4 linked regions of the Lytechinus pictus genome follow. The protein of the gene in region 3 interacts with the protein of the main gene of each other region in a pairwise test. Links are inferred from orthologs where the notes say so. Each region holds a gene or a part of one and is shown on either strand. Other genes may lie near its edges. The genes, in order: ATP synthase subunit s, mitochondrial-like; ubiquilin-1-like; peripheral plasma membrane protein CASK-like; protein lin-7 homolog C-like.

Region 1 (7,966 bases), on a different chromosome or scaffold from region 3:
CAAATAAGAGAACAAGATTTGGGGTTCACTTAAGCATGCGATGTGTAATATGTAGTTCAACTACTTAGCAGTGAGCAAAACACGGATATCAAAGTCTTGTATTTTGTCTTCAACTTTTACAACCTCACATTTTGACAGTATGAAGAAATTTCTTTTTTTTTTCGGATAAACCAATATTCTAAATATGCGTTTGGAAAACTGAATTACTATTTTGGTTATTTTCTACGAACCTTCCCTGGCAACTTATTGTTGATATTTGGGTGGCTGGCCACATTTGTTTTGAGAAAAAATATCAAAGAGTATATGAAAAAAATATTTATGTAAAAAAGCTTGCCTAGCTGTTGGTATTTTCTTCTATTGTACTTTGTCATGTAACTCTGGTAGATTTCATTTCGTTACACAAAATGGGGTTCAGTATTCAGAAAAACCATTAACCTTGCCTCAACCACAACAGTACTTGCCAAACTGGATAAATCAACATTATATCAAGCTGTGTAGAAGAACTTAATGATCATGTAGATACCATTAAGTGCATACATATGTAATGTCTTTCAAGCTGTATGACAAAAATATTCTTTTCCATCCAACATCAGCTTCTACTATTTTTTAAGGTTAGTTTTTATTGTCATGTTGGCAAATTGTGAAATAGTTCATGTTGAAATATGTTGTATTACCTGTCATGCATTTGTAATGTTATTTTTTTAGAATATATTCTGTCATCATTTTCAGTACATAAAAGTTTATTCAATGTATGCCTTTACCAAAGTTGGCCATAAGCACAGTGGGTACCAACTATCACTGAAGACAACACAACAATTACTCAAAATATATGCATAGCCTTATGAATGTACAAGTCAATAAAATCTACTATGACTACATAGCTTTTTTTTGTGCAACACAGTCATATTTCATTTGGATCAATTCAAAATTGAGTGGTGTTTTGGGGGTAATGCTATGGTAACTGCAGTTCTGTTGTCCTCTGACAGTTGGTGTTGTAAGGATGTGATTGGCAGTGTGTGGACGTCATGTTATAAGAGAAAAAAGAAAGTTAAAGTGAGAGTGTTGGCTTTGAAATGGACTCAACCTATGAAAATTAAAGTTTGTGCTGCAGAAACTGGTGTGGTAGTGGGATGATAATGATGATGAGGAACAGGGCCGGTATTCAATGCTACTCTTAAAGCCACAATTTCAAGTATATTTTACTCAGTATTTTGCAAAAGTAAAATACTTATCCATCTTTGGTATTCAATTGCATTTTTTTTTGGCTAAATATTTTGCTTAAATGTAAGTCAGCCATCTACTAGACTTAAGTCTACATATACAAAAATGATACGCACAGAAATACATTCACACATTTGGCACTATTTGGCTCAAAATTTATAACATCACAATGGGTATTAGTATTTAGTTCAATTTGGATAAGGTAAATTCTGAGATCTGATCTGCATACAAGTTTAAGCATTTTGATAAGCCAGCCAAATTGCTAAGTAAAATACTTACAAAATCAAAACTTAGAATTTAATAGGCGGCCGAGGTATTATTTTCTTCCAGAGGACATGTACAGATTTCTTGTTGACAAAGGATGACATGATGATTATTTTGCAAATATGGCTTATTAAAAAATATATTATGTATATTCCATTTCAGTGACAATTGCATTTTTGGGGAGGGGATATTACGTATTTGGGAATGGAAAAGTTCAAAATTAATGCAAACTTAACCTATTTACGCAGGGGGGGGGGGGGGGGGCTCTGAGCTCTGCGATTTAAAAAAAAAAGTCTTTTGCATGTTTTGAGACCAGTTTTGCGAAGCCCGGGTACTGGGTTCTGAAAATTACCAAACAATTTGTAAGTGCATATCAGACAAAAATGGCTCAAAATTGTGATATTTGTGTACCACGTCAATGGAATATGCGTTTTCAACCAAAATTCATGAATGCCTAATTGTTTTTAGTTTTGTTGAACTAAACTGATTTATGTTATGCTGTTACGAGAGTCCGAGCATCGTTGAAAAAAAACAATGCAATACAAAGGTAAAAACACAAGAAATACATTATCGAAGAACACCACAAAGAGTTTCTAAACCAAAAATTAGAACATTTGGAGCTTTATTTAGGGAGTTAGAGGAATAGGTATAGTATACTAATTATGCACAAATGAGCATAATCAATTAATAGCAATTTGCATGAAATAAATAACTACACAATTTTGTGGATTATTAAAAGCAATTGCGATCTTTTTCTTCACTATTCATTGTTTTTAGAAACCTCATTGTAGACTTGCCTCATGCACCTCTCAAGATGGCTTCATCATTTGAATTATATTCTACACTTATCATTCTTTAAAAAAAATCATTGTAGACATGCCTCACCTCCTCTCAAATTGCCTTCACCATAACTTGTAATACAGTTTATTCTTTTTAAAAACCTCCATTAACTAATTGCCTCACCTCCTTTTAAATTGGCTTCACCATAATTTGTAATACAGTTTATTCTTTTTAAAAACCTCTATTGAAACTTGCGTCGCCTCCTTTTAAATTTGTAGTACAGTTTATTCTTTTTTAAAAACCTCCATTGAAACTTGCCTCACCTCCTTTTAAATTGGCTTCACCATATACAGTTTATTATTTTTAAAAACCTCCATTGAAATTTGCCTCACCTCCTTTTAAATTGGCTTCACCATACAGTTTATTCTTTTTAAAAACCTCCATTGAAACTTGCCTCACCTCCTTTTAAATTGGCTTCACCATAATTTGTAGTACAGTTTATTCTTTTTAAAAACCTCTATTGAAACTTGCGTCGCCTCCTTTTAAATTTGTAGTACAGTTTATTCTTTTTTAAAAACCTCCATTGAAACTTGCCTCACCTCCTTTTAAACTGGCTTCACCATAATACAGTTTATTCTTTTTAAAAACCTCCATTAAAACTTGCCTCACCTCCTTTTAAATTGGCTTCACCATAATACAGTTTATTCTTTTTAAAAACCTCCATTGAAACTTGCCTCACCTCCTTTTAAATTGGCTTCACCATATACAGTTTATTCTTTTTAAAAACCTCCATTGAAACTTGCCTCACCTCCTTTTAAATTGGCTTCACCATAATACAGTTTATTCTTTTTAAAAACCTCCATTGAAACTTGCCTCACCTCCTTTTAAACTGGCTTCACCATAATACAGTTTATTCTTTTTAAAAACCTCCATTGAAACTTGCCTCACCTCCTTTTAAATTGGCTTCACCATAATTTGTAGTACAGTTTATTCTTTTTAAAAACCTCTATTGAAACTTGCGTCGCCTCCTTTTAAATTTGTAGTACAGTTTATTCTTTTTTAAAAACCTCCATTGAAACTTGCCTCACCTCCTTTTAAACTGGCTTCACCATAATACAGTTTATTCTTTTTAAAAACCTCCATTAAAACTTGCCTCACCTCCTTTTAAATTGGCTTCACCATAATACAGTTTATTCTTTTTAAAAACCTCCATTGAAACTTGCCTCACCTCCTTTTAAATTGGCTTCACCATATTATACAGTTTATTCTTTTTAAAAACCTCCATTGAAACTTGCCTCACCTCCTTTTAAATTGGCTTCACCATAATACAGTTTATTCTTTTTAAAAACCTCCATTGAAACTTGCCTCACCTCCTTTTAAATTATTGGCTTCACCATAATTCTTAGTACAGTTTATTCTTTTTAAAAACCTCCATTAAAACTTGCCTCACCTCCTTTTAAATTGGCTTCACCATAATTTGTAGTACAGTTTATTCTTTTTTAAAAACCTCTATTGAAACTTGCGTCGCCTCCTTTTAAATTTGTAGTACAGTTTATTCTTTTTAAAAACCTCTATTGAAACTTGCGTCGCCTCCTTTTAAATTTGTAGTACAGTTTATTCTTTTTTTAAAAACCTCCATTGAAACTTGCCTCACCTCCTTTTAAATTGGCTTCACCATAATTCTTAGTACAGTTTATTCTTTTTAAAAACCTCCATTGAAACTTGCCTCACCTCCTTTTGAATTGGCTTCACCATAATTTATAGTACAGTTCATTCTTTTTTAAAAACCTCCATTGAAACTTGTCTCACCTCCTTTTAAATTGGCTTCACCATATACAGTTTATTCTTTTTAAAAACCTCCATTGAAACTTGCCTCACCTCCTTTTAAATTGGCTTCACCATATACAGTTTATTCTTTTTAAAAACCTCCATTGAAACTTGCCTCACATCCTTTTAAATTGGCTTCACCATAATACAGTTTATTCTTTTTAAAAACCTCCATTAAAACTTGCCTCACCTCCTTTTAAATTGGCTTCACCATAATATTCAGGTATAAGGTATATATTCATTCTTTTTTTTAAAAACATCATTGTTCACTTCCCTCACCTAGATCATTTGGCTATATATAATACCTTTTATTCTACACTATTCTTCCCTTTCAAAAAACCTGATTGGAGCTCCTGCCTCCCATGATCTGACATTTGCCTCTCAACGTACTGGAAATAAATACCATTTTTTCAATATTTTTGTGTTTTTGACACCCTTATCACGTTACGTACGTAACGTGCCCTCTCTTGAAAAAGACATCCTTTTTACGTGTTTTTTTGGTCGCGCATGGTATCCACTCGTCAATGTAAGTGGCCCCCCCCCCCCCCCCCCGGGCGTACTGTACATAGTGTTATTTTATTATCTCTTTATATGGGAAACTTCGTTTTACCGAATTGCCATGCACTCTCTCCGACGCGTTTGAAGTCTTAGACAGCATGGCATACTACCAGCCGATGGTACACACACGCACACACACACACGTTATTTGACAACTTGTCTCTGGAGCCAAAGTTCCTCGCATATAACTATCTGCATGCCTGCACGCAGTGTGTATTGAACACGCACGACCACGATCTAATGAATATTCATCGGCGAGACTGACGTCATTTTACGAGTCTCCTTTCAAACTTGGATCATAAGTGCCTACCCATCATATCAGTGGAATTCTAATTCTATGGTGTTCTCAATAAATGTCGAAACAAAATTCTGAGCTAAACTAAGTCAAGTTACTAGTTAGTTAGTTACAGCACAGATGCAGAGCCGTAAAACTCCCTCAAAAATACAAAGATGACAAGCTTGCTATGTAAAAATGTAAGAAATTTATCTCTTGTGAGGAGAACTATGTGTGTCTTTATGTGAATGAATGGCGTTGTAATTGTGAGTTTTAGAGAAATGCCCAGGCAAGCTGAGCCTGAGGCAAGGCCAAGGGCCAAGGACAGGTTAAGGCACTATAGGTATCACAGGCCTAACTCATTCCCCATAGACTCGTGTGTTAAATTGGCATTTTAAAAAATTCATAAAAAATAAGGGTGAAATTCGGGGGTCGAATGTTTACTACCAGTGGATAGGATTTTTATCTGGCAATCCATATCTGACCAGAAAAGGGTCCCTCGACCGGCTCATTTTAAAAATAAATTGGCGTGTTTGAAGACACCGTCGGGGGGAGCAGATTCATCACCTCAAACAGCAAAATAGCCCTAATCCTTCCGCCAGTCAAAATATAGTCCAAAGTTGGTGATATTTCTTCCCAATTTGGGAAAAGGAAGTTCAATAATTACCAAAAATAGAATCAGTGTTAGATGGACAATCATATGCATACACTTTGTTAATCAGCCATATCAAAATTTAAAAAATAGCAATGGGTTGGCTCGAATGAATATCTATGGCCTGCCTCTAGTGATTAGGCCCGTGAAGCCCTAACGTTAGGCCAAAGACGTTACGGCTACGCACGGGATGCGGTCGGTGGCGCGCTGGCGGGGGCCGGGGCGGGCGGGCGGCGGCAGCTGGTGTGGACCTAGACAGCTTGCAGCCGTCTGTTTCGAGGAGTTTTTTAATCATATTTTCTCCTCGTACACTGGCGGTACACAGATGGCTCGCGATCGTGCAGCTGCCATTATTTAGGGGGTAAACAATGCAAAATCCCCCCGACGCAGGGCTCATCAATTTTTTTCTTTATTTCATAAGAACTGGGCCAAAATGAAGATTATATTATTCCGTTTTGGCCTGATGAAATGCACCAAAGCAAAACGGAAAAAAATTAACTTAAATGGGGGAAAAACAGTGACTTAACTTCGGCTGTCGCGCAACTCCCGCGGCCTGGTTTATCCGAACTTAATAAACATATCATCATATGGCCATTGTCTTTGATACGTCCCTGTACTGTAATCTGTACAGATCGAGTTAGAACTTTGGTCTCTGTAATTGGTGACTGGAGCCACTCACACGTCTAGACCAAAACAAAAGCTTCAGTCTCTGTAGTTTGATTATTTCGCTGAACTGCGTTGGCTCACTCACCAATACATATAGTAAAATAAATCCCCAGAAACGACGGTTATTCCTGTCTATCACACGTCATGCAGGTATTGTGACTAATACTATACTAGGACTGGAGCCAACGGAGTTCAGCGGAACAACCAATAAAACAGAGACCGAAGCTTTTGGTCTAGTGTGGACCGTGCAGACAGACGCTAGATCAAGGCGAGTAGGCGACATCGACAGGAACGGCTGACAAGTCATGAAAGGGGTACTTTAGTTTAGGGCCGCACACCTACTGTCTACTACCATCCATGAGCATGATGAGTGCCCCCCCAAGTTGGCTGCACTTACCTGCTTACTCCGAAATTCACATGTAGATTTCTTTTTCATGACTGTCTTAAAGTTTGCGTTACTCCGTTAGAATTTCTTGCTTTTTTTATAATGCAAATAACTTTTTTTTTTTTTTTGTGAGTGGGAATTATAAATGAAATTTGTTACCTTAGCCTAGCCCTAGGGCTAGGCTTAATAAAGCTCGCTAAATTAAATTCTTCTATTTCTAATTGTGTTTGTTTTGTGTACAAAGTTGATGGAGGGGAAGTTTGTCACCAGGTATTAATTATTAAATATTATTATTATTAAATATAAGAGTCGTGAACAGCTGCTTCAGTTGTCTGATAGTAATAAATCTCATATTAGTGAGGTGATGAATTGTGGAACAATTAAGACCTATAACCCAAAATGAATAGATAGAACAGATTAAAGGAAAAAATATCAAATGATAAGGAAGTGAAATAAGATCAAAATGAAGCTATTGGAAGAAGTATGGTAATTCATTGGCTCGATGAAAAGAAAAAAAGAGATAAATTTGAGAAAACCAGAAACGAGGTGATAGAATGACAAAAGGAAAAGAATGGTACTTTCAATTGCAGAAAAAAATATTCCAGACCCAACATTAAAATGGAGAATTAAACAGAAGGAATTCAAGAAAGTCAATAGAAAGAAAATGAGATATTCCCTGTTTCCTTTGACTATTTATAGCTTAATGATGAGAGCTTTTTGAGTAGATCTATGCCTACATTGTTATGCTAATGTTGGTCTACTTTTTTGTCAATGGAACCTTGGGAAATTTCTATTTGCTATTGGACCTTTCAAAAGACCCTCTTTTCCAATTTCGCTGGCAAATTGTTGTAGGCAAATGTGAGTGTTTGAGAAGGATATGGCAAATTGGTTATGGCCTATTTATTTAAAACAGGTCTTGCTTTGTATCTGTCTAAAAAAAAATAGACACCTTGTTGGAGTTTTCCTGTACATTTGCCACAGTGCTTGTCTTGGATTTCTTGAGTTTTTTTTTTTTACCTCAAGAATGCATTAGAATATGAATGTTATTATTTTTCTTTTTTGTATATTGCTGTTTGAAGATTTGCAATCCAGGTAGATCCATTGCAAGAGGTATTCTACTGCAGCACCATCTCCAGTCACGTCCACTCTGGGGGATGTTAAATGCTGTCTTTAATCAGTAAGTTATGCTTTTATTTCGATAACTCTGCTAATAGGGACATGTATCCCTATGTATCGAGTGCTATATAAAAATACTATGGTTAACAATAACGAGATTAAAAACCTGCAATTTTCTATATCGGGTACTTCTGTAGTCGTGCAGTTTTGAAAGTAAAACCAA
Region 2 (8,018 bases), on a different chromosome or scaffold from region 3:
TTGTAACTAATTTTCTGCCTTTTGAAACCATGATATAGGCAACAAAATCATATGCCCTTGACGAATAAAACATGAACTATGTCCATTTTTAAATACCATCGCGGCTAATTGATACCATATTTTTTAAGCCACCGTGGACTTTTGGACATACTTGACCACCAATCGTTCTTGTAACTTATCCCAATTTATTATTTGACCCATTTAACCATGGTATAGGCACAAAAAAATCATATTCCCGAATATTGAACAAACTTTGTTGGGTTTTTTTAAAGTAGCAACAGCATTTTTTACTCCATTTTTGGAAGCCATCTTGGATTTTTGAACATACTGGACCACTGACTGTCCTTGTAACTTGTCCCAATGTATTATTTGACAATTGAAACCATGGTCTAGACACCAAAATCATATCTCTCAGGTTGATGTGATATGAGCTATGTCCATTTTAAGGATTAACAGCCATTTTAAACTCAATTTTTGGAAGCCATCTTGTAACTTGTCCCGACGTACTACTTCATCATTAAAACAATCGGATGGAAACCAAATTAAAGCCACTTAAGTAAGTAATAGATGAATTGTGGAGTTTTTAGACTACGGCATCCATTTTGGGCGCCATCTTGGATTTTCCTGGTACCCTGGAGTGCTAATATTCACTCTAACTTGTATAAATAAATTCTGTTACCCATTGGACCATGGAATATGAACCCAAATATGATTCTAGGGTGGATAATGAGTGAGTTATATCAATTTTTAGTGAATGGCGGCCATCTTGGATGACATCTTAAAAATAACCACTTTCCCGGATGCGGATTTTGGTAGATTTTTAGTATGTTATTCCTGAGGTCAAATAGTACAAAATACCGTTGAAAAATCATTTGTTGCAATTTGTTCCGGGTCAAACCATATATTGACCCGTCTATTAGTTTCTTTGGGTTTTCATGATTTTGGGTAACAAATCACATATAAACAATACAAGTAATTTGAAATAAAAAAGCAGCATACACATTATTAGTTTACATCAGAAAAAGTACAGCTTATCAACAGATAAAAAGTGATAAACATGTTGTAAAAGCAGTCACTTTGTCTCTTCTAAGTATTCCTCATCCCTTATAGTATAGTAAAGGCAAGAATGTAAATAACAGAGGGATACAAATCAGGTGATTTACCTAGAGATTAACAAATTTCTATCCTCAGAAGGCATATTAAAATATTCTTCAGTTACAAAAATTAAAAATGATAGAATATCTTACAACTTAAATCTCCATTTCCGAAAATGGCTTGTAGGTTTATTTTTCTTGGCAATACGATATTCAATATCCTTGTTAGAGGTTAAATATGCTTTATAACCATCAAAAGTTGGTGGTTTGTTCTGAAATTTACAAATATAAATGTAATATTTAAGCAAAAGAAACAAATATGCAAGGAATGTATCATCAATATAACCAAACATTTTTTCAAATGTTGAAACATTCTGTAAATCAGGCTTTTTGGTTTCCTTAATAATAGCTTTCATAACTTCATCCCAAATGGGTTTCACAACAGGACATTCAATAAAAAGATGTAAATAGGTTTCCGGGTCACTGTTACAAAATAAACAATTAGGGAAGTCCTTCCTTTTAATTTCATGCAGGAAATCATTCAAACCTATTGCTTTAAAAAAATAAACTTGAAATAAAAAGAGCGCACACGTGTCATTATAGTATAAATACATTTTGATTATTTCTTCCCTTTTCCCCCATCAAAAAGCAAAATTTAGGAGTAATCGAGGAGGGTGCAAAAGCGCACCCCTTTGTCCATAGACGGTTGTTTGCTCATAACAATTGCTTAATGATATTTATCGACTGAAACAAGTATTTTACGATTCGTAATATTTATCGGCCGATTAAAGTATTTCTTAAATCTAAGTTGGCAGCTCTACATGCGTGTGGTATCTTGGTATCGATAACAAAAGACTCCAAAATGGTGACGTAAACAAACTGGGTAAGTAAACCAGGGTAGGAATTAATTTTTTTTTTTAGGGGAAAGAAAAAAGAATTTTTAGGGGCGATTTGGGCTGTCATGGGGGCAAAATCGCCCGTCGCCCCCGTGTAATTCCGACCCTGAAGTAAACGCTCGTGCTCTTATGTTTTTTTCAAATTTAGTACTATTTTTCAATAAATATAAGGACCTTTATTAAAAATGGGGGGTAAATATTGTTTTGGCCCATACGTTAGTTTGGGCTAAAAACGTAAAGTAAAGGAAAATGTGTGATTTAGATTTTAGGTTTACTTTCACCGTGGGAATCCTATGCCTATACAGGGAGTTATGGCATGCCGTCCCAGGCTTCATGGGGAGTAAGCCTACGTAGTAAATAATTTTACTCCCCAGAAGCCTCCAGGCTACTGCCAGTGCCACTGGTAAGCTCCAACGTAACGTTACTCATAATTCATATTTACATGAGTCTGATGAGACAATTTAACTGCTAAAAATGGGCTTTCACGTCATTAGATACGAACATCTTTATTACTATCAGTATCACCCATTAACAAAAAATCGCATTACAAGTTAGTCTGGGTTAAAATCTTAAAATAAATGCACGTCCTGTGACTGTGCTAAGCCTAAGGCTAAGCTAAGGCTAAGTCCAGTATGGCTATGCCTATGGCGCTACGGCGGCGTTGCGCATTGTGAAACGCTGAGAGTGCAGTGAGAGACTGTGGTCTGTGAGTGTAGAGTGGATCATTCATCGCGCCGTGAATAAGCAATATTGACAAACTTCACCTACACTACAGTCGTTGCTAAACATGGACCCTCAATCACATATATTACCTGTTTAATTGTAGCATCGGGTTTGATTTCTATTGTTTCTTTGTCTTTCGGTGTCTTGACGACAACATTGATGATATCTTTAGCAGTGGTTCCCGAAGATTCTGTAGGCTCCGCCATGTTTCCAGATTTGTGTTTTAACAAATTGACCTCTCAAGTGACCGAATTTGTCTAACTAAGTTATGGAAAGCTACATTTGTAATGTGTTGTTGTTTGTACTAACTATTTTTTTCTACATTTACCATTTTCATGGTATTACTACAATAAATAGATTCGGGGATGTGGATGGTTTATATACATTGAAAAGTTTCCATTCATTTTTCCCATTTGAGTGTACTGAAGTCATTGATCAAATCAATGCCGTAACTCCGGACTGCAACATTTCCCACATCTCTATTTTATCAATTATTATATTTATAGGCCAAGTGGATCGACTTACAATCTAAGCCTAATTTGCTCAGAATTTTTGATATTGCATCATTTCTGAATATGATTTCACTTATCTCTCTTTGCATCATAATACTGTTAACCTTATTCCCGATTTCCATTCTCATCTCACATCTATCGGTGAAAAAAATAATGATAATTTTCATTTAAGGCTTTATATAATTCAATTCAATTAAACATTTATTTCCAAAGATAAAAGCATTAATACAATTTCAAAAATTTAACAACAATGGAGGTACTCTGTAAGCAGTGCTTGTGACGAGTGCACCGTGATAGAAATAAAAAAAACATATCCATACAAAGTACATTGACTGATTGATTGATTATGGTTGATTGATTGATTGGTTGATTGATTGCGGATTGATTGATTGATTGATTGATTGACTGACTGATTGATTGATTGATGATCGCTTTATTTCCGCATTCAATGCATCAGATATAAGTTTATAAAGTAGTACACTGCAAAAACTCCGGTGTTGATTTAACACCAGCCCGGCCTATGTCCACACTGAGAAGTATTGAAATAGCACCACTTTGGAATCAAACCGATGCTGTTTTAATACTAATTGGTGTTGTATAAACACCTATCTGGTGTTAGACCAAAACGAAACTTGTGTTGTTTAACAATTCTCTGCATGGTGTGGACATATATAGATTCCGGGCTGGTGTTAATTCAACACCAGAATTTTCGCAGTTAGTATGTACAAATCAATGTAGGCCTATATAACAAAATAATATTGTTAAAGTATAAGCATTGGATCAATAATGTTAAACAAAATTTGATTTGATTTGATTTATTTTTTCTTCTGCATTCATATAATTATAACATTTCAATTTTCATTATGTAACAAACATAATATATCGGTAATTGATTTAGGTATGAATCATAAAGAAAAAAAATACAAAATAGAAAGTCATTCTAAACAAATATGATCTACAACCAACAAAGAACATTTTAACATTTACAGTTTGCAGGAGAAGGATTGTCATTATTAGCAGATTGCTTGAAAAAAAATGACAACCCCGGAATAAAACTCATTAAATTATTACATACATTTATAAAGCAGAATGGAAATGTTATTTTGTTTATAATTGTATAATGATGAAGATGGAGATGAATTAGGATGATGGTGATAATGGTGAAAATGAAGGCCATGATGGAGATGGAGATGATGATGATGGTCATGGGAGAGTACTTGGTGATGATCAAATCACAGGAAAAATGATTTAATCAAAGAACGAGATATAGATCCAACAAAAGATTATTGCAAATCGAAGTGGGAGTTCTTTTGAGGTTTAGAACTGAAAATGGGACATTCTATTCAGCTATTTGATCATGAAAAGTATGGGTTTTGCTACAGAAATGATGCGAGCGCGAAGCGCGTGCTGAAAATTTTTCATATTCCAATCTGAAAAGCGGACATTTTGAGCACGATTTTAGATAAAGAACAAGTTGTGTATCTCAATCTCGCTTGCTGATTTCTCTGTAAAAACATTACAATCTTATTTTATTTTTTGCACATGCGGAATTATTGGGGGGGGGGGCAAAACGATATGTTTGCCCCCCCCCCCCAATATTTCCATTGGTGGGGCGATCGCCCCCCTGCCCCCCCCCCCCAGGATCGACGCCTCTGCCCTGGGTAACCTTTCCCACCTTCAGTGCCACTTCCAGACCTACACATCCAAACGTGTATGGGGGGCAGCAAAATGGAGGGCAACGAGGACTACGAGGTGCCCAAATATCCTCGTGTATTGGTAATTTGATGACCGAATGTATAATTTCTGCAAGTTTCATATCATGTTAAAATAATGGCTATAAATAATAATTAAAAAAATGTTCGCTCGCTCGAAAATTAAAAACTGTGAAGTTGATATTTGGGCAATGATTATCAGCCCCCCTTGAAGAAATTGTGCCTATACGTCCATGCCTACTACCCCTCCCCCATCCACCTTGCTCATTTTTGTCGCTTGCCCCCCCCCCCTGACGAAATATGCCAGGTACACCACTGAGCAACTATATAATTATTCAAAATATGCAAAAAAAAATTGCTATCGAGCTTTGAAGTTCACCAAGTTTGCAAGGTCTCGAGAAATACACAAGTAAAATAATATTGCGTTTTTAAACCCCACGGGATCACGACGTTGAGTTTGAACCTCTATTACTCAGTCAAAACCCATCTCAGTTTCACAAAATTTTACATCATAGTTCAGAATTATATACTTAATTCACTCATATTGCTGTGCTCTTTAAAGAGAAGTAGCACCTTCAATTTTAATGAGGTGTGAAAGGCGACAAAAAATATCTATAAAAAAAATTGACATTTATATAAAAAAATAAGAAATACAATGAATGCTGCACTTTATTTAAAATCCATGTCATTTTCACAAAATGGTTCATACTGTACCCCCCCCCCCCTCCGGAGTCAAATACACAACAACAGTGGTGTACCGTCGGGTCACGGCATGGGGGGCACCAGCAAAATTTTTGAGTCACTTAGTGAGCGCGCGAAACGCGCTCAGTTAAACGTATATCTCACTGATCATATGCGAGCGCGAAGCGCGAGCTGAAATTTGTTTATATTCAGACCTAAAAAGGGACATTACAAGCAATTTTTTGTAATCATGATACGTACCTATCTCGCTAAACAAACAATGCGAATTTTTGTTTATACTGACCACAAACAGGGACATTTTAAGGACTATATTTTAGCCAATCCATTAAGAGTATACATATATCTCACCCCCTCTCACCATGAAATCTAATGCGAGTGCCAATTAAGTGCATGCTGATTTTTTTAAGGATTACATCTAAACACATGGAGCACTTTTGTAGTAATTGTAATCATGATTATCATACGCATCTATCACTAATCGAATATTGCGCGCGCGAAGCGCGAGCTGAAGATTTAGGAAATTCAGACCTGAAGAGGGGCATTCTATATAAGGCTTAATTGTTTGTAGGAATTCACGAAGACCAAAGATACGTATTTCACAGTGATGCGAGCGCAAAGCGCAAGCTGAAAATTTTTGATATTCCGGATCAGAAAAAGGGACATTTTAAGCCTGATTTTAGGAATTCATGAAGAGCAGACATATCTTACCAATTCACTAATGCGAACGTAAGCATGGACAGGAAATGTTTTATATCAAGGCCTTAAAATGGGGCAGTTACTTTAAGTATAGTCACGAATAAGAAGCACGTGTCACTATACATAAAACAATATGTGTATATTGACTTGAAACGGGAGGTTTTAGTACAACAGGATTACATATCTCGTTAAACAGACAATGTGAGCACGAGGAACAATGGAGACATATAGGCCCTGAGCAAATTATGTTTCATAAAGTTATGAAAAAATGTTTTTTTATGTAATATAACATAACATAATATTACATTATAAATATAATGAACAATATCTTCTTTCTCGCTACGTTTCTCTCCCTTTCTCCCTCTATTTCTCCTTTTCCCCCTTTTTTTTGGCCAGCCCGGCGTAGTTACGCCACGTACTGTATTTGACTGGCGCCCGGGGAAAATGTACAGTACGCTTTGTTATTATCATCTCAAAGAATAATTTCAGTTTGCGAATTTTATAACACATTGGAATTAAAAAAAAAACAGAAACTTCATCAAGACCTTTATTAAAAAAAATAATGATAATAACAGACCAGGGTAATAAACAGCGGCCAAAATCCCGGGCCAAAAATTAATGAAGGCCGGTCTTACCGTTTTTGTAGTCATCGTTGTGTCGAAATCAAATCATGGTCACATAAGAACTGTCTACCATCATACCATGGCGTTCCATAGGCTTCTAATGTAATGCTTATATCGCATACGGATGTACACGTATGGTTAACGTACGCGAAGATTCGAGTAGGAGTTAGAACTTAGACTTTTGCCCTTAGAAAATTATTTTGATTCATGCTTGATATATGAATGTCAACATGTCGAGAACAAAGAAATTACTAAGCAGACCTGAACTTCCAAGTCTTGATGAAATCACTAAAGACTTGGAATCGGCGCCGAGCGATGATGTCGCGTTTACATTCTTGAAGAAGGACATTACCGATACAGCTGGTGCTGCGCTTGGCGGGATTCCTCATCAGGATTCCCATTCAAAATCAAGAGATTTCCTCCCCTCCGGTAAGTGAACCCACATCGACCCAGATACTCTTCCATTGCATCTTTTATTTATTCTGATTAAAGGTCAAGTCCACCCCAGAAAAATGTTGATTTGAATAAATACTACTATTACTAGAGAAAAATCAAACTAGCATAAATTAAAATCTAACTAGAATTTAGTAGAAACAATTGAATTTGAACCAAGACTGTCCAAGTCAATTATGATTATGATAAATGATGTTGATATTCAAATGGATGTTGTTAATGAAAATTATGTTAACATTTGTACTAATTTTGAATAATAGACTACATGTATTTGATTGATATGATAAAGATATTTATTCCACACTCATTCATTGATGTAAAAACCTAATTGTTATTTTCATTTGATCAACTTCACAGGTGAATCTTCAGCCAGGGTCGCACTGGATACATCCAAATCTTTTGAGTCAGCTGCCAAAAGACCCAGACAGGAATCCAGCAAATCAGTGTCGTCTAGTGCAAGGAAGTCTGAAGAACAACTGGAGCAAAGCAAGGAAGAAAGGGAGATCGAAGACTGCTATCAGAAGGTCCTGAAGTTCTTGGAAATGAACTCTTATCTTAGAGGCTCACAGGAGAAGATGTCGCAGCAGTGCGCAGACTTACAAGAATT
Region 3 (7,057 bases):
AGGTAACATCTGGGTATCCCCAGAATGGTCAGTGTGAAAGGGGTATGAATATTAAGTTACTTACCTTGATACTGCTTCACTGTAGACGAAGCCTGCATTCGCTCTTTTGACAATCTCAAAACACAGGTCTGCTCCTTCCATACTGCACAGGGTAATAGGAGGGTGAGAGCAAGAAGGAAAAGGAGAGATAGGGAAAGAACGAAGAGAGAAAGAGAACGGGAGAGATAGAAGGGGAATGGAAGAAAGGAGGGTGAAAGAGGAGGGGAGAGAAAGAGAGAAAACAGGTAGAACATCAAAGAGAGAGCATAAACAAACACGAAAGTGAAGAAAAGAGCGAGAGGGGCAGAAGCAAAGTTTTTTATGAATTGGGGGGGGGGAAGATTATGAGAGAGATGAGGAAAAATATATGAAGGAAGAAATATAGCAGAGAGGAATAAAAAGAGAAAGAAAATGTTGATTAGTGAATGAAAATATTTTTGTACATGTATTATATTTTCATTTTAGTATACTGCTATTCATAGCAGGGGATTCTACTTGAGTCAAGTACAATGCAAATTCAAGGAAAACAAATATTACATGACATTTTTAATGCAAACTAAGACTGAAATATTATCAAGCTGATACGTTTGTCCTCTCATCACTGCAGCATGCATAGCTAGTTGCATCAAAGCGAATCATTATATGCATAATTCACCACTCATGGGAATAAATACATGTAGCGTGCCTTTCAGACAAGTTGAATTTCTTGTACTGTACATGCAGTATTAAAAAATTTAGTGCATCAACAACTAGCTCCTACTCAATGTGTACACTGTAGGAATGGAATAGGCCTACATACTAAACACAAATCTCATTTTACCAACAAAAAAATCAATACAATTAAAAGAATTTATTAAAGCCATTTCCAGATTATGAAGACGGGCTCTTACGATTCCAATAACATGGAAAGACATATATCCACATTATATTTCTTCCCCTTTCTTGAATACAGTTTTGCCTGGAAGGCAGACTACATACATGCTGTCAGAAATGGAGGAGTGGTGAAATCTATATTTTATTGATCCAAAATCTACTTTGTCAAAACAGACTGTGAAAAAGAGGGTTGTAGAATTGTAAATAATTGAAAGGAATAACAGACATGAATTTTTATATGATGAAATGAGGGTATTCTGCATGGTAAAACAAGTTCGTACAATTTGTACTGACAAGCCATGCGTGGAAATGGTTTCCAGATACTTTTTTTTTTGTAAAGTCCCAATGATTATTTACTCAAATTGCATTTTATATAAAAAGTTAAAATAAATATATACATGTATTGAAGATATATTTTTTAATCTACTTTTTGTAACCTACTGCAACATTCTGCATTGTCATGAATGGGGATTTAGCAAGGGCTCTTTTGAACAGTTTGAGGGCGGAGTCGACCAAATCCCTCATCCAATTTCTCTAAGCTATTGATAAGACAAAATGGTCAATAAGCAACATCAATAAAAATATAGTTTCATCTATTTGAAACATGCATAGCTTCAAACACAATACATTGATAAAAAGTTCTCCCAGAATTTGAAAAACGTATTTTGTTCATTTCTAATTCTAATAACAATAGATATGCCCATTTCTCAAAGGCTGAACATACATTTAAGATTACTGAGCAAAGTAAAAAATATGAAACATCTTGAAAGAATAAGCTAAATTCTAGCCCTCGGAACTGTCACCAACCCCCCTAAACAAAAGATGCAGGCATCCTCTCAATCGAATAAATTGATGGAAACACGCACGCACATCACTCTATAGAATGCCTGGCCTAAACATCCACGGCTAAAAATAGCATGATAGTTTTTTTCTTCTACAAGGAATTCTCTCCCATCAATGGACATCGCTCGTAGGCAATCCCATCTTGGTCTTGCATGAAGTAAACCTCACCAACTTGAACCTCACTACTGCTACAGACACACCGGTGAAACCGACTACAGAGTGATCAAAGCTGTTACGTTATTTCCAATGAGATACGATCGGTCGGCTGAGAGTCAGTTTTATGGGTGTGACTGCAGCGTCATATTTGGGGATAGAATAAATCCCCTTCTCACGGAAAGCAGTCCATTTGAAATGATAGAAAAAAGGTGTGTACATGTATAGTGCATATATCATCTGTTTTCTTTACACTGAGATGCTAAGAATCATACAGAAATTGAGCATCAACTATACTGCATATAATGATACATAATACAAAAGAGACGACAAATTACATGAATGATTTACATACGTTGATAAATCCTCATATTTGTCATTACACCTACATGTATTCACGGGGGACCAGTTGAGGAGAACTAAATCATTTTTCTTATTTTATTAGCACTCATTCACGAGAGTTACAAATCATGATCTATGACGCTTGCAAGTCAATGACCCATTAAGACCTTCCTTGTCAGACTTCCTATGAAATCATGAAGCGTGACTTGTAATGCTTTGATAACCATGGCTAGATAATTCATCATTTTATAGACCTACATGTACCTGATTATTCTTTATATGTAATATTTATATTTCATTTTAAGTTCTTCATATGACATGATCTCAAATGCACATTGGATATTAAAATCAATCAATAATTGAAGTCAAGGCAGATAACTTTTCAAAAATTTAATGAAATAGGCAGTGTCCATTAGAATATGATTAGGAACTGTTAATTTCATTTCATTTCTATTTTTATTTCTATTTAATCAGGATAGCCTCGTCAGCTATAAACTCTGCTTGGCCCTGAAATATACCTGTATAGTGTATGAAGTTATTAGAGCTTGCAAGATATCTATTCTCAGATTAAAAGTTACATATATACTCCACCTGGGTGGAGAGTGGCAAAAATGGGACTTAGGCCTTGCCAAAGAACGTGAAAGATATACTTACTATTCAAAAACCATATAGAGTAGTCCATCTGAACTGTATGTCTCCAATAATTCAACAATGTGTGGATGCTTTAACATGTGACATATTGATGCTTCTCTTTTCAGGTCTACAAAAAAGGAAATGAGAGAAAAGAGAGAAAAATAAGAACATTTTAATGTTGAAGTGTTAAAAAGTATCATGACTGTATACCCAGAACAGAAGAGACACACAAATGGGCGATTCCATGCTAGAAAAATCAGCCATTTTCACGACATTTTTCAACCTGCTGTCCAAAAAAATAAGGAACTTCAACTTGTTTTGTGGTAGTAATAAAGTACTACTTGAAAGTCATGTAAAAAAAAAAATTACAACCAACAGAAAAATGTCGTCGATGGGTGAATTAGAGGATAAAATGTTGCGTCGTCGTACGGGACATTTATGAGTCCCGTGCGACACACACCATTTTCACCTTTAATTCACCTCCAACTAAACATTTTGATATTGGTAATCAGTTTTTCACATGGCTACCCACTATACCTGTATCATTGATAACAATGAAAATTGTATTGCTCAAGCATTCAGCTATGGCATCGCCCATACCATCATCTCCATTTCTTTCACAATGTATTAGTACTGACTTTTAATATAAGTTTTTACAGTGGATAATATAGAAGCTTGACTCACAGACCTGCATACATGTACATGTACATGTAGAACATGAGTATCAATTTAATAAAATATTAATCGCGCAATCAAAATAACCATGTATACATGTACATCAATTATTAATGTGGCACATGTGGGTAAACTATCTCAGCATATGAATGAATCAAGAACTATTCTTCGCATGTGCAAGTATGTCTGCACTTGTTAGGGGAACACAGACACATATGTATGTAGCCTTGTAAGACAAATCAATAATTATTCCATGAATATCATTGATATATCTTTCTGACACCACGGACCCAGTGCAGTTTGAACTTTGCTTTCCAGGATCAGAACTGCGCAAACAGAGACGGGACCTTTGTCAATACCGAGTATCGAGTATGAGTACACAATTCAAGTTGGATTCCTTCATCATGTATGACTGACCAAGATTGGAACCCATAGGAATCATAGATTCATTCCCTTTGCATGTTTCTTTCATTTTTTAAATATATTCTTAAGTAATTTAATTACAAAATATATAAATTTAGTTCAAATTTATTACAGTTCGCTCAGAAGGACCTTTCCCCCATTTCTTCATTATGCACCCCTTAATCCACACTCCAAGAAATGTTTCAACCAACATATCAGGTTGGTTAATTTATTATGTGAAACTACCATCTGTTGATTAAGAGAAATCCCCAAAATGTTGGATTTAAACATCATTTGTTTGTACCGTATGTACTGATTCGCACACCCAATTTAAGCAAACCAGTTGTGTCCTTACCGGTTAACCAGTTTAACAAGGTAAAGTGGTCTTGAAGACCACATTGCAAGGTGGATTTCCGAACTGGTTTTGAAGACCACTTAAGATCGCTTCCAAGACTGCTTTGAGCATTCCCATTACACGTTAAACTGGTTGCCACTATTAAAAAAACTGGTTTAAGAATGAAGGTGGGAATGGGGTCTAGGTTTCCATGTTCCTAGAAATCTGTTGCTTATTGGGCGGAGAATATGCACCCTCCCGAAACAAGAACCCAATCAAGGGCCTCGAGAATCACTCGTATTACTGTCCTCTCCGTCACCAGAGCTTGTACAGTAATCAATAGATGCTGTCCCTTCTTATTACCTGTACCTAGAGTAAGACATTACGGACATTTCAATGCATACAGTACATGCACTAACGCGGGCTGTTGCAGCCAGGACTAACAGAGGCTTTTGGTGGTGTTGTCAGAACCTCCCAACCCTACCCCTTTTCATTAATCCTAGTTTTGATATCGATTAGGCATGCAGATTATAAATTGTTTAAAAAGCAGTCCAAGGCTTTAAATGGCCCTTTCAGTGGCCTTGAATATTTTGAGGTCCTTTGTAACTTTCCATAACTGTACCTAAAGGTCAAGTCCACCCCAGAAAAATGTTGATTTGAATAATTAGAGAAAAATCAAACTAGCATAACGCTGAAAATTTCATCAAAATCGGATGTAAAATAAGAAAGTTATGACATTTTAAAGTTTCACTTATTTTTCACAAAACAGTGATATGCACAACTCAGTGACATGCAAATGAGACAGTCAATGATGTCCATCACTCACTATTTCTTTTGTTTTTTATTGTTTGAATTATACAATATTTCATTTTTTATAGATTTGACAATAGGGACCAACTCGACTGAATCATATAGTTTTAAGCAATGCTAGTTTCAACTGTTCATGGAGGAATCAAGCGTTGTTTCACTTGACAATGAGGAGAAAATGAGAATATTTCATATTTCATGTAATAGAATACAAAAGAAATAGTGAGTGGATGACGTCATCAGTCTCCTCATTTGCATACCACCCAGGATGTGCATATAACTGTTTTGTGAAAACAAGCAAAACTTTAGAATGTCATAACTTTCTTATTTTACATCCAATTTTGATGAAGTTTTCAGTGTTTTGCTTGTTGGATTTTTCTCTTTTTATGAAATCAACTTTTTGTTGGGGTGGACTTGTCCTTTAAATATATAAGGTACCCTTTTGGGAAGTGGCCTTGCCCTAAAAAAAAGTTCAAAATTTAAGGCCTGTATTCATGACATAAAATTAATTACAAAACATTAGTTTATAATTATATTTTGATTGAATAACAAAATAATCAAATCATGAAACCCACAAGTCATTTACCAGCAAATAGCAGAGAACATCATTCACAATAAAAGTGATTTCCATCACAAACAGATACAAAACATGCACAGTTCTCTCTGGATACACCTAAACCTTCCATTCCTCCCATCACTGCACTACACCTACATGTAAGAACTTCAGGATACTGTCATTTAATAAAATCGTGCATCTTGCAAGAATGGGGCATGACCACTGGGCAAATCTCCCCCCATGGCAGGGGGCAAAAGCACAGGAGCAGTTATTGAATTTCAACTGACCCGTCAAATCCAAAATTGAATCTACGGGAGTGAGTCGTAATGCGAACAAAATCGAACGACGGGGCTTTGAGATAACGTTTTCCCTGTCATCCTATTACTGAACCGACGGTGGTTCTGAAAGGGTGGAGGTTGCGCCGGGGATCATACAGAACTCGACCCCTTGAAATGATGGAAATCAATAAATGAAATTATGTTGAAGAAGCAATGCTGTTATTCTTCCATTCTCAAGACCTGCGCAGGCATTGTGCCGTTGGGGTAGGGTGGAATTTGTGTTATGGGACACAACACGTGGGCTGCTCAAAAAGGTCACAACTGTTTGTTCTTTTTCCCCCTTACAGTATTAACATTGTTTCGTATGATCCTCCAAGTTACATCCCCTTTATAACCAATTGAAAACGTGTCTATATACAGGGGGATGCCTAAGTTGAATGGGACATGCTCTATACAGACAGGCTGGGGTGTAATGACATTCTTTGTTCATCAAAATTTCTTTTTGAATTTCTTTTTGGGGGTGGGGGTTGATAACAGATACACAAGGGGAAAAGAATGGTTCTTCACACATTACTAGCGTTGACATGTAAATGTATTTGTCATTATAGTCCGGTCTGTTAGCGTCAAAAATACCCTACTTGTGGACACGGTGGACAAAAGCATGATTTTTTCTCCAGACCTTTGTTTATGTATAAGAATTAAAAATGGGGTATGCTCCAAAAAATCTGGCTGCAGGAACAGTGAAAAAATGGGTGAAAATGTCAGAATTTATGAGTTTAAATTGGTCTGATATATAGACTAGCGCCAGTGCAAAACTCAATAGCAGTGCATTATTTTGCATTGGTTTAGTTCTTGAATTCAGACCCTTTTTGAACAGATGTTCTGTTTGTCCTCACATCTCAATGCACCATATATTTGAATGCAGATGCTAAACAAGCCTAAGGGTGGCGGAGAACTTGGTGGAGGGGTTGAATGTTGGTGTGTATGTACATATTTTGGTCTTGGGGTAAAGATGTGCAAAATAAATTTTTGCATGTTTTGGAATTGGTGTTGCCATGGTAACAGTGTATTATGGCAAAAATAAGGTAACAATCTTGCAGTTAGAACTACTTCCTCTGTTTT
Region 4 (7,807 bases), on a different chromosome or scaffold from region 3:
TGCTGGGTTTAATTGCTAAAATAATCTCTTTTTCTATTTTTTTATTCAAAGATCTAGTTTTTACATTACTGCATTATAGTGCTAAATTCCAGTTTCACAAATATCAAAATATGAAGAATTTCACAGATATATGATTTTATTTTGAAAACTTGGAATACTGTTATTATTCTTTGACTGATACATAAACCTTCACCAATATTTTTCTATATTTTTTTCTGCTTTGAACCATCTCACCATCAGGGCAAACATACATGTAGCCTTTGACTTTAGGATCTGGATAGAGGTTTTGGAAAGTGCTCAGTATGTATCTGTAATTTTTGTGGTACATGTACTTGCAAATTATATGATAAACTTACGTTGCTGTAGATTTTGAAGTAACTGTATTGCACGGCTGACATCTGATGGAAAATAAACAGAGACGTGATGACATGACTTTGACAGGAATCCCACATTAACTAAGTACAATCTCACACTTTACTCATTTGTAAAAAGTACAGAAATCCCACAAAATATATTATTTCAAAAGCATGAAAGACAAGATAGATCTAGAGGTCAAGATTGATCATTTATTTTAAAACAAAGAAGGGGGAGACAGTACCATCACAATTATAAAAAGCATGGTGATAATAATTACCAGCCTTCCTTTGATTAAAAAAAAAAAAAAAAAACCCAGTCAGTCTTCAAAACAATTATTATTCCTGTTTGTTTTTATCGAGAAGTAAAAATCTATTCCGGGCACTGAGCTTTCCTACCAGTCATGCCCAACAAATAAAAAGCATATTCTATAATCTATAGACTCTTTATCATTCCAAGCTCACAGCCCGGCCCAGGCCCCAGCTAACACAACAACAGTTCCATTGGCAGATCTAGCGAGCAGAATCAGAAAGTCAAGGGTGTAACAGGGGGGGGGGGGGGGGGGGGTGACAGGAGCAAAAAATTTCCTGGACATATCATGGTGTCAACAGGATTTTTCATGATGGTAATAAAATATGCGAGCATTGGCGCGTAGCTCTATGTGGGATTAGCGTGACGAGTAAAAAGAAATCAAGGGGCACCGCATGGCGCTTGTGGCAAAAGTTTCATGATAAAACTTCACTTTTTCATTACAATCTTACTTTTAGGGTCTTTATCTCTCTTTTCTCCTCTTCATTGTTCTTGGTTGTAATAATAATTATTTATAATCAAGTTTCAAATTTTATCATTTGTTAAATGATAATTTTTATCAATAAATTGTTCTTCAAGACGGTATTTTGTACCATTGCTTATCGAGGCTACGTTATAACGAAGCGGTTCAAGGGCCAAGCCTTATGTATTGCGGTGTTTACGAATGGAATGAGGGATCTAAACGAAATCGGTCTGGTAAGAAACCTCTGATTTTTCATATTTATACTAATAGTTTTTTTGCACCTTCATACGCATTAGGCATATGAAGGTGTATACAAATTTATGTGATTTGTAGGTTTAAAGATGGATTTCCTAATATCCTATGGAAATCAATCAATGCTTTGATGTCTCGCTTCGCCTGTTTCAAGGCTTCATGATGAATAAGTATATGTCAAAATATTAAAAAATATAATCACAAAGTCCTCAAGGCCAATGCCCACCGTTTTTCCAAATATCGTGATCGGGAACGTTTAATCTGGCCCCGTTCTCGACGATCTATTCTAAGTAACTGCTCCAATTTGAAGTTAGCAACCAAAATCATGCGAACAAACATGTGAGCTGCCGCAGGCATATCTTTTGGTTGCTAAGTAAGGGCAAGGCCTATGTCTGACCCGAGAACCCGGGGGGGGGGGGGGCACTTACATTGACGAGTGGATACCATGCGCGACCAAAAAAACACGTAAAAAGGGTGTCTTTTTCAAGATAGGGCACGTTACGTATGTAACTTAGTAATAAGGGTGTCAAAAACACTAAAATAATGAAAAAAGGGTATCTATTTTCGCTAGAAGAGCTACGTATTTAGGGTCAAATTTGGGAGGGTATAGAAAATTGGGACTAAAATGTTTTTTATAAAGGATGTACTTTTTGCCCCAACAATCAACACTACGTGTTTAGAGTACGATTTACGCGAGGTGTGGAAGGTGAAGCCGTACTAAACCCAATTAATGATGTAGTTAAACTTAAACTAAGGTAAAACCGACGACCGACCTCCATGGCATAACAATTAAAATATCGCTGTACTTGTTTAGGGGTTCAATTCAGGGAATACTTGCCAAGTCCAAGAGTATCGTTTTGTTTCCAATACTTGTTATTAAGGGTAGGGTTTAACATGCTAATACTTGTTAAGGGGTGCATTTTCAGCATATGGAAAATACGTGTTTAGGGTGCTTTTTGAGACCCCATGGCCATGGTCGCACATGGTATCCACTCTTCAATGGAAGTGCCCCCCCCCCCCCCAAGAATTTGAATAACGTCGAGATCGGAGCCAAAATGTAAATTCGCCGTTCCCGATTTGGAAAAGCAGTGGGCATATTCACCTCGAAGTGTGAATGAGAGACTTGCATTTTGCAAACAATATACTGGTGGGAAATTTGCCTGAAATCGGTAAGCGCGAAATTGCATTAGCCCCGGACAGTCAGAGAGTCAGCTCCGCCAAACTCTCAGCGAGCTCTTCGTCATCACCTACCGGCCACCTCCCCGCCCCGTTGGGGCCGATATGAACGTTCGCACGACCCCTCCTTCCTGTAAACATCAGCCAGTGCAGTGGGTTGCAAATGCCGGACCGTAGCGTAGAAACTCCCAGAAAACACTCTTATTTCCACACTTCCTCGTAATATCACACATTGAATCCCACTTTATAACAATCCTTAGATAATGCATATGTATGAAATAAGTAAATAAACGTAAATATTCATAAATTCTCTGATATATTGGCAAAAACATAATCGTTAGTGTTTTACCTCTGTCGAGTGTAAGTTCGCCTGTAGAAGCCATTTTGTCATCTGATCTCGGATGACGTCATCATTGTACTGTACACACACATCGAATGCATGAAAAAAAATCTGCAAATCTGGCAGTAAAGAGCAAGTTGGGAGCAATGTGCTTCAAGGATTAATCAGAAGAAAATATGTGGCAAAGGGAAGGGTGGAATTACAACAACAAAAAATGGTTGGAAAAGGAAGAGAACAGAAAAATAAAAGAAACGGGAAAAGAGAAAAGACAGCAACGCCCGCAGCAACGTATACGAAAATTAATAGAAGACAACAATTAAAAAACTGAAAAAGAAGAAGAAAAGATAACAGAAAACAGAAACTTTGAAAATGAATGAAAAGAAAAGGAAAGAAAAGAAACGAATAGAAACGAAACGAAAATAAAAGAAAAGAAAAGAAAGAAAGAAAGAAAGACAGAAAGAAAGAAAGAAAGAAAGAAAGAAAAGAAAAGAAAAGAAAGAAAGAAAAGAAAAGAAAAGAAAAGAAAAGAAAGAAAAGAAAAGAAAAGAAAAGAAAAGAAAAGAAAAGAAAAGAAAAGAAAAGAAAAGAAAAGAAAAGAAAAGGAAAGAAAAGAAAAGAAAGAAAAGAAAAGAAAAGAAAAGAAAAGAAAAGAAAAGAAAGAAAGAAAAGAAAAGAAAAGAAAAGAAAAGAAAAGAAAAGAAAAGAAAAGAAAAGAAAAGAAAAGAAAAGAAAAGAAAAGAAAAGAAAAGAAAAGAAAAGAAAAGAAAAGAAAAGAATGAAAAGAAAAGAAAGTAAAGAAAGAAAAGAAAAGATATAGGTCCTGAAAATATGTACGATAAAATATGAAAAGAGGAAATTAACAAAATAATAAAAGATGAAAGGTAGGCCTATATCTAAAGGCCTTTGATTATACAGGAGAGAAAAGTAAAACATAATCCCCGCGGAGCCAAAAGGTAAAAAGAAATACAGCGTCGAGGTCAAGGAATATATTTGCAGACAAAATAAGAGAAAAAGAAGTAGAAAAATAAAAACTATATATATTGGCGCTATATGAATGCCTATATCATTATCCCCGAGAAAGTCAAAGTGAAACCATATAGGCGAGCCCATTATGGGGCAAATTCATTGGCTGGGGGTGTAGCTCCTGCATCGATCGCGGCCGCACCTCGAGCTGCAACTGCTGACAATAGGCCTTATAGGCCTATTTTTTAATTGATTATAATTTTAGAACTGAAGAAGAGAAAACAACAAGAAGAAAGGAATTGAAAAGCATGTGAGTATAACCCTACGGTGAGTTGAGTTGCATACTTGCATGGCCCACAGCATCCCTAGCTGTTTTATTATCATTATTACTACTGATTTGATTGTTTTGTTTTCTTCATGGAAAAAAACAAAATCGATTTTATTTTCTTCAGGTATCCTCCTTATCATACACTGCTTTTCTTTTCAGTATAGTTTCTCTATTATATAATTATTGCATAATAAATTGTCACCGTTTTTTTGGCAGTCAAACCAAGTTACAGATGTAGTTTCCCTTTTCATGATTCTGTATTTTGTTCTTTGCCATTTACCCCACCCCCTCTCCCTTGGGGGGGGGGGCATGGTCCACTATTATAGTGCACTAACTGAACAAAGTTATAGAGAACGGCAAAATGACGGAGGTCCCTTTCAGGGGCGGATCCTGGATTTTCCAAAGGGGGGGGGGGCACATTTTTCCGAGGATGAATTTGACAAGCAAAAAAAAGTTATCACTTACAAAGGGAGGGGGGCACAATTTTAATCCCCTCCCCCCCCCCCCCCCATTTATTAGCCATTATTAGTCAAGAAGTTTTCATGAAACGCTTAATTCCCATGTAATTTCGTGTTTCCATTCAACTTAATGCGAAATGAAAATTGGAATACTGCCCTCTGCGGTGACTCTTTTGCTTAGAACTTTTTCGTTTTCATTATATTTTTAGTGATTTTTGTTTCACTTTCTCTCTCTCTCTCTCTCTCTTTCATTCATTCATTTTTTTGTAGAACTTTCATCTACCCTTCACATGTTTTCTTCCGGGTATTTCTTTTATAGCTTAGCCACGTTTTCTTTCTAGAAAACCATGAATTTTTCCTTAATTCCCCATCAAGCTTTTATTCTTTTGCAATATCTTGCTCCGACTTTTCACTGTCTTTTTGTAATTCCCAAATCAAATCAGATACAAAAAAATGAATTATAAAGTATTTAAAGGGATGGTCCGGGCTGGAAGTATTTATAGCTTAATAAATAGAGTAGAATTTACTGAGCAAAATGCCGAGAATTTTATCAAGATCGGATAACAAGTTTATTGAATTTTAAAGTTTAGCAATATTTTGTGAAAACAGTCGTCATGAATATTCATTAGGTGGGCTGATGATGTCACATCCCCACTTGTTCTTTTGTATTTTATTATATGAAATTAGGTTTATTAACTTTTTTCTCCAAGAACTAGAAAAATTGGATTGACAACTGATTTAGTGCATTAGATATTTATTGCTGCAACTTATTTCATTATAAGGGAGACATATCATTCACACAAGGTAAGTATGAAATAATGAAAAAATTATGATATTATGTAATAACATAAGAAAACGGAAAGTTGGGATGTTACATCATCAGCCCACCTAATGAATATTCATGACGACTGTTTTCACAAAATATTGCTAAACTTTAACCATCAATAACTTTATTATTTGTTATCCGATTTTGATGAAATTTTCGGCATTTTGCTCAGTGAATTCTACTCTATGTATTAAAATATAAATATTTTCAGCCCGGACCATCCCTTTATTTGGTTAAAAAAAATCACTAACCAGCGGATCATAATTTATGACCCTTTCCCCCTCCTTTTCCTTTAATCTATTACCTCCTTTCCACATAATCCTTTAATATGGTTTTCATGACCCGATTTACCCCATTCCCCTCTTTTTTATTTATTTTTTATTATGCAAACGCATTTTATATGTTCCATAATCATGCAGTCTGTATACCTGCTTTTCTACTACGTCTTTAGACCATTCCCTTCTTTTATGTATCACTTTTTTTCTCAAATACTTTGTCTCGATACGGATCCAGATCCAGATATTGCTCTTTCAGTCGGCACCACCCCTCCCTAAAAACGGGGAATTACGACAGCAATAACAGGATAAAAACAAATCATATCACAACAGAGAGCAATTATTATTTTTATTCATTTTTTCTGAATCAGCAATATTATTTTTTATTTTAAGTGCGTTTCCATCAAACATTTTCAATAAAACTTAAACAGAATGTTTCAAAACAGGCACATTGAGTAGATTATCAGTTACAAAGTGTTATTTCTCTGACGCCAAACCACCGGCCCAATACCGGGAAGAGTCAATGAATACGTACCACAATGTGAAACACTTGTGAAACCATGCCCCCTTCACACTTAAATTTGATCATTTCAACAATGTGCATCCCATATTCACATAATCGACCATGTGAACAACCACCAACGCTGCCAGTTACTACACTGTAAAAAAAAATTAGTAGAAATTACTTAATAAAATTGTGGCAAAAAATTGCCTTAATTTTTTCAAGTATTTATGACTTTGGCAGTTTTAAGTAAAATTTACTTATTTTCTTTGCTTCCATTTTACTCAAGAAAATTAAGTTACAATAACTTAATTCAATTAAGTAAAACAATCACTAAAATATTTGAAAATATCAAATGGGGGAGTGGATGGACTTTCGTGATTCGAAAGTCCGCTCCCCCATCGTCCCACTTTTGGTGGCATCATTTTCATTTTATACATGTTTTATCCAAATATTAGACTTTGTGAATTGTCACTTACCTGTACATGTATAGGTACTGACATTGATATTTATACGCGATCGTTTCATTCTTACAAATAAAACAGTGAGAATAATTTTCTGCTAAATGACTATTTAATGTTGCCTTTTCTTTGATTCAACAAAAGAATACAATAGTTAGCACACCCTTATCCAAAACAATTTCAAACACAAATAGAAATGACAGTTATTAAAAAAAAAAAACATTTACTTGCTCTAATGAATATTCATGCATTATTTAAATATGGCGTTAATTGAAAATATAAATACATTCAACATGATTTTATAAGTAATAATCATCTTTGCCTAATTGAGTTAGATTTACTCAATCAAAGCAAGATATCAATACGTGAATTTTCTTAAATGTATATTGAACCCAAATAAATCAAGTAAATCAAGTAAATTAAAAGACAAGTTGAAACTACTTAAAAACAACAAAAAATAATTACAAATTGTAAATTCTACTTAAATACATTAAGTGTTAACTACTGATTCAATGTTTTTTTTTTACAGTGTATTGCTCTTATATTCCTATACATAACAATTTTTTTACTATTATATATTTTGATTTTTTTAACCTTTGTTTAATTGTATTTTTCTTATGCCATTGTTATAACCTGTTACCTTTCCTCCATGCCCCCAGGAGGGGCCGTCAAAGAAATAAAGTCATTGTCATTTCTGGTCGAGAATTTTGACAATATCTTCACACTGTTGAATTTGAGCATTATTTCAGTGTAAATAATATTTTCATAATAAAAAAACAGTCCACTAAGCAAACGTACAGTGATCACACTACGTGACATCGCTTTCTTTTAGTGCAGAGTATATAGGCCAATGTAGCGCATTTTCATCTTTATCAGTTTGTCGATGGTTTTTCTTAATTAGTTTTTAGAATTTTCAATCATGGTAGGCCTATACTAAATGCTTGTTTAATAGTCACAAACAATGCCACTATGTTTATATTTTTTTTCTCTCAATTATTGATTTGAGGTGTGGCACGATTTATTTGTTGGTGATTAAAAAATGGGGGAATTAAAAGTAGGGCCTATCAACTGAACTGTTTTATCATTCGATTGAAAATTAA

The links.
Region 1: the proteins of peripheral plasma membrane protein CASK-like (region 3) and ATP synthase subunit s, mitochondrial-like interact in a two-hybrid assay, tested with the Caenorhabditis elegans proteins (3 studies listed by BioGRID). The link is inferred for Lytechinus pictus from reciprocal best matches to the Caenorhabditis elegans genes lin-2 and C05C8.1.
Region 2: the proteins of peripheral plasma membrane protein CASK-like (region 3) and ubiquilin-1-like interact in a two-hybrid assay, tested with the Caenorhabditis elegans proteins (2 studies listed by BioGRID). The link is inferred for Lytechinus pictus from reciprocal best matches to the Caenorhabditis elegans genes lin-2 and ubql-1.
Region 4: the proteins of peripheral plasma membrane protein CASK-like (region 3) and protein lin-7 homolog C-like interact in a two-hybrid assay, tested with the Caenorhabditis elegans proteins (5 studies listed by BioGRID). The link is inferred for Lytechinus pictus from reciprocal best matches to the Caenorhabditis elegans genes lin-2 and lin-7.

Annotation. Positions count from the first base shown.
Region 1 is NC_087251.1:18,076,949-18,084,914, forward strand, and holds the start of ATP synthase subunit s, mitochondrial-like, read left to right. Parts: upstream 1-4,965; 5' UTR 4,966-5,100; coding exon 5,101-5,124; intron 5,125-7,706; coding exon 7,707-7,804; intron 7,805-7,966.
Region 2 is NW_026974140.1:5,442,011-5,450,028, forward strand, and holds the start of ubiquilin-1-like, read right to left. Parts: upstream 3,007-8,018; 5' UTR 2,920-3,006; coding exon 2,803-2,919; intron 1-2,802. Other genes in the region: uncharacterized protein LOC129260988, read left to right, coding at 7,177-7,387, 7,769-8,018. UniProt on the Caenorhabditis elegans protein: May play a role in the ER-associated protein degradation pathway (ERAD) possibly via its interaction with ER-localized proteins ubxn-4 and cdc-48.1 and/or cdc48.2, providing a link between the polyubiquitinated ERAD substrates and the proteasome.
Region 3 is NC_087260.1:13,512,515-13,519,571, reverse strand, and holds the start of peripheral plasma membrane protein CASK-like, read right to left. Parts: upstream 3,010-7,057; 5' UTR 2,982-3,009; coding exon 2,905-2,981; intron 143-2,904; coding exon 65-142; intron 1-64. UniProt on the Caenorhabditis elegans protein: May play a structural role in the induction of the vulva. May be required for the localization of signal transduction molecules (such as let-23 receptor) to either the basal membrane domain or the cell junctions.
Region 4 is NC_087253.1:11,784,255-11,792,061, reverse strand, and holds the start of protein lin-7 homolog C-like, read right to left. Parts: upstream 3,002-7,807; 5' UTR 2,938-3,001; coding exon 2,904-2,937; intron 399-2,903; coding exon 357-398; intron 1-356.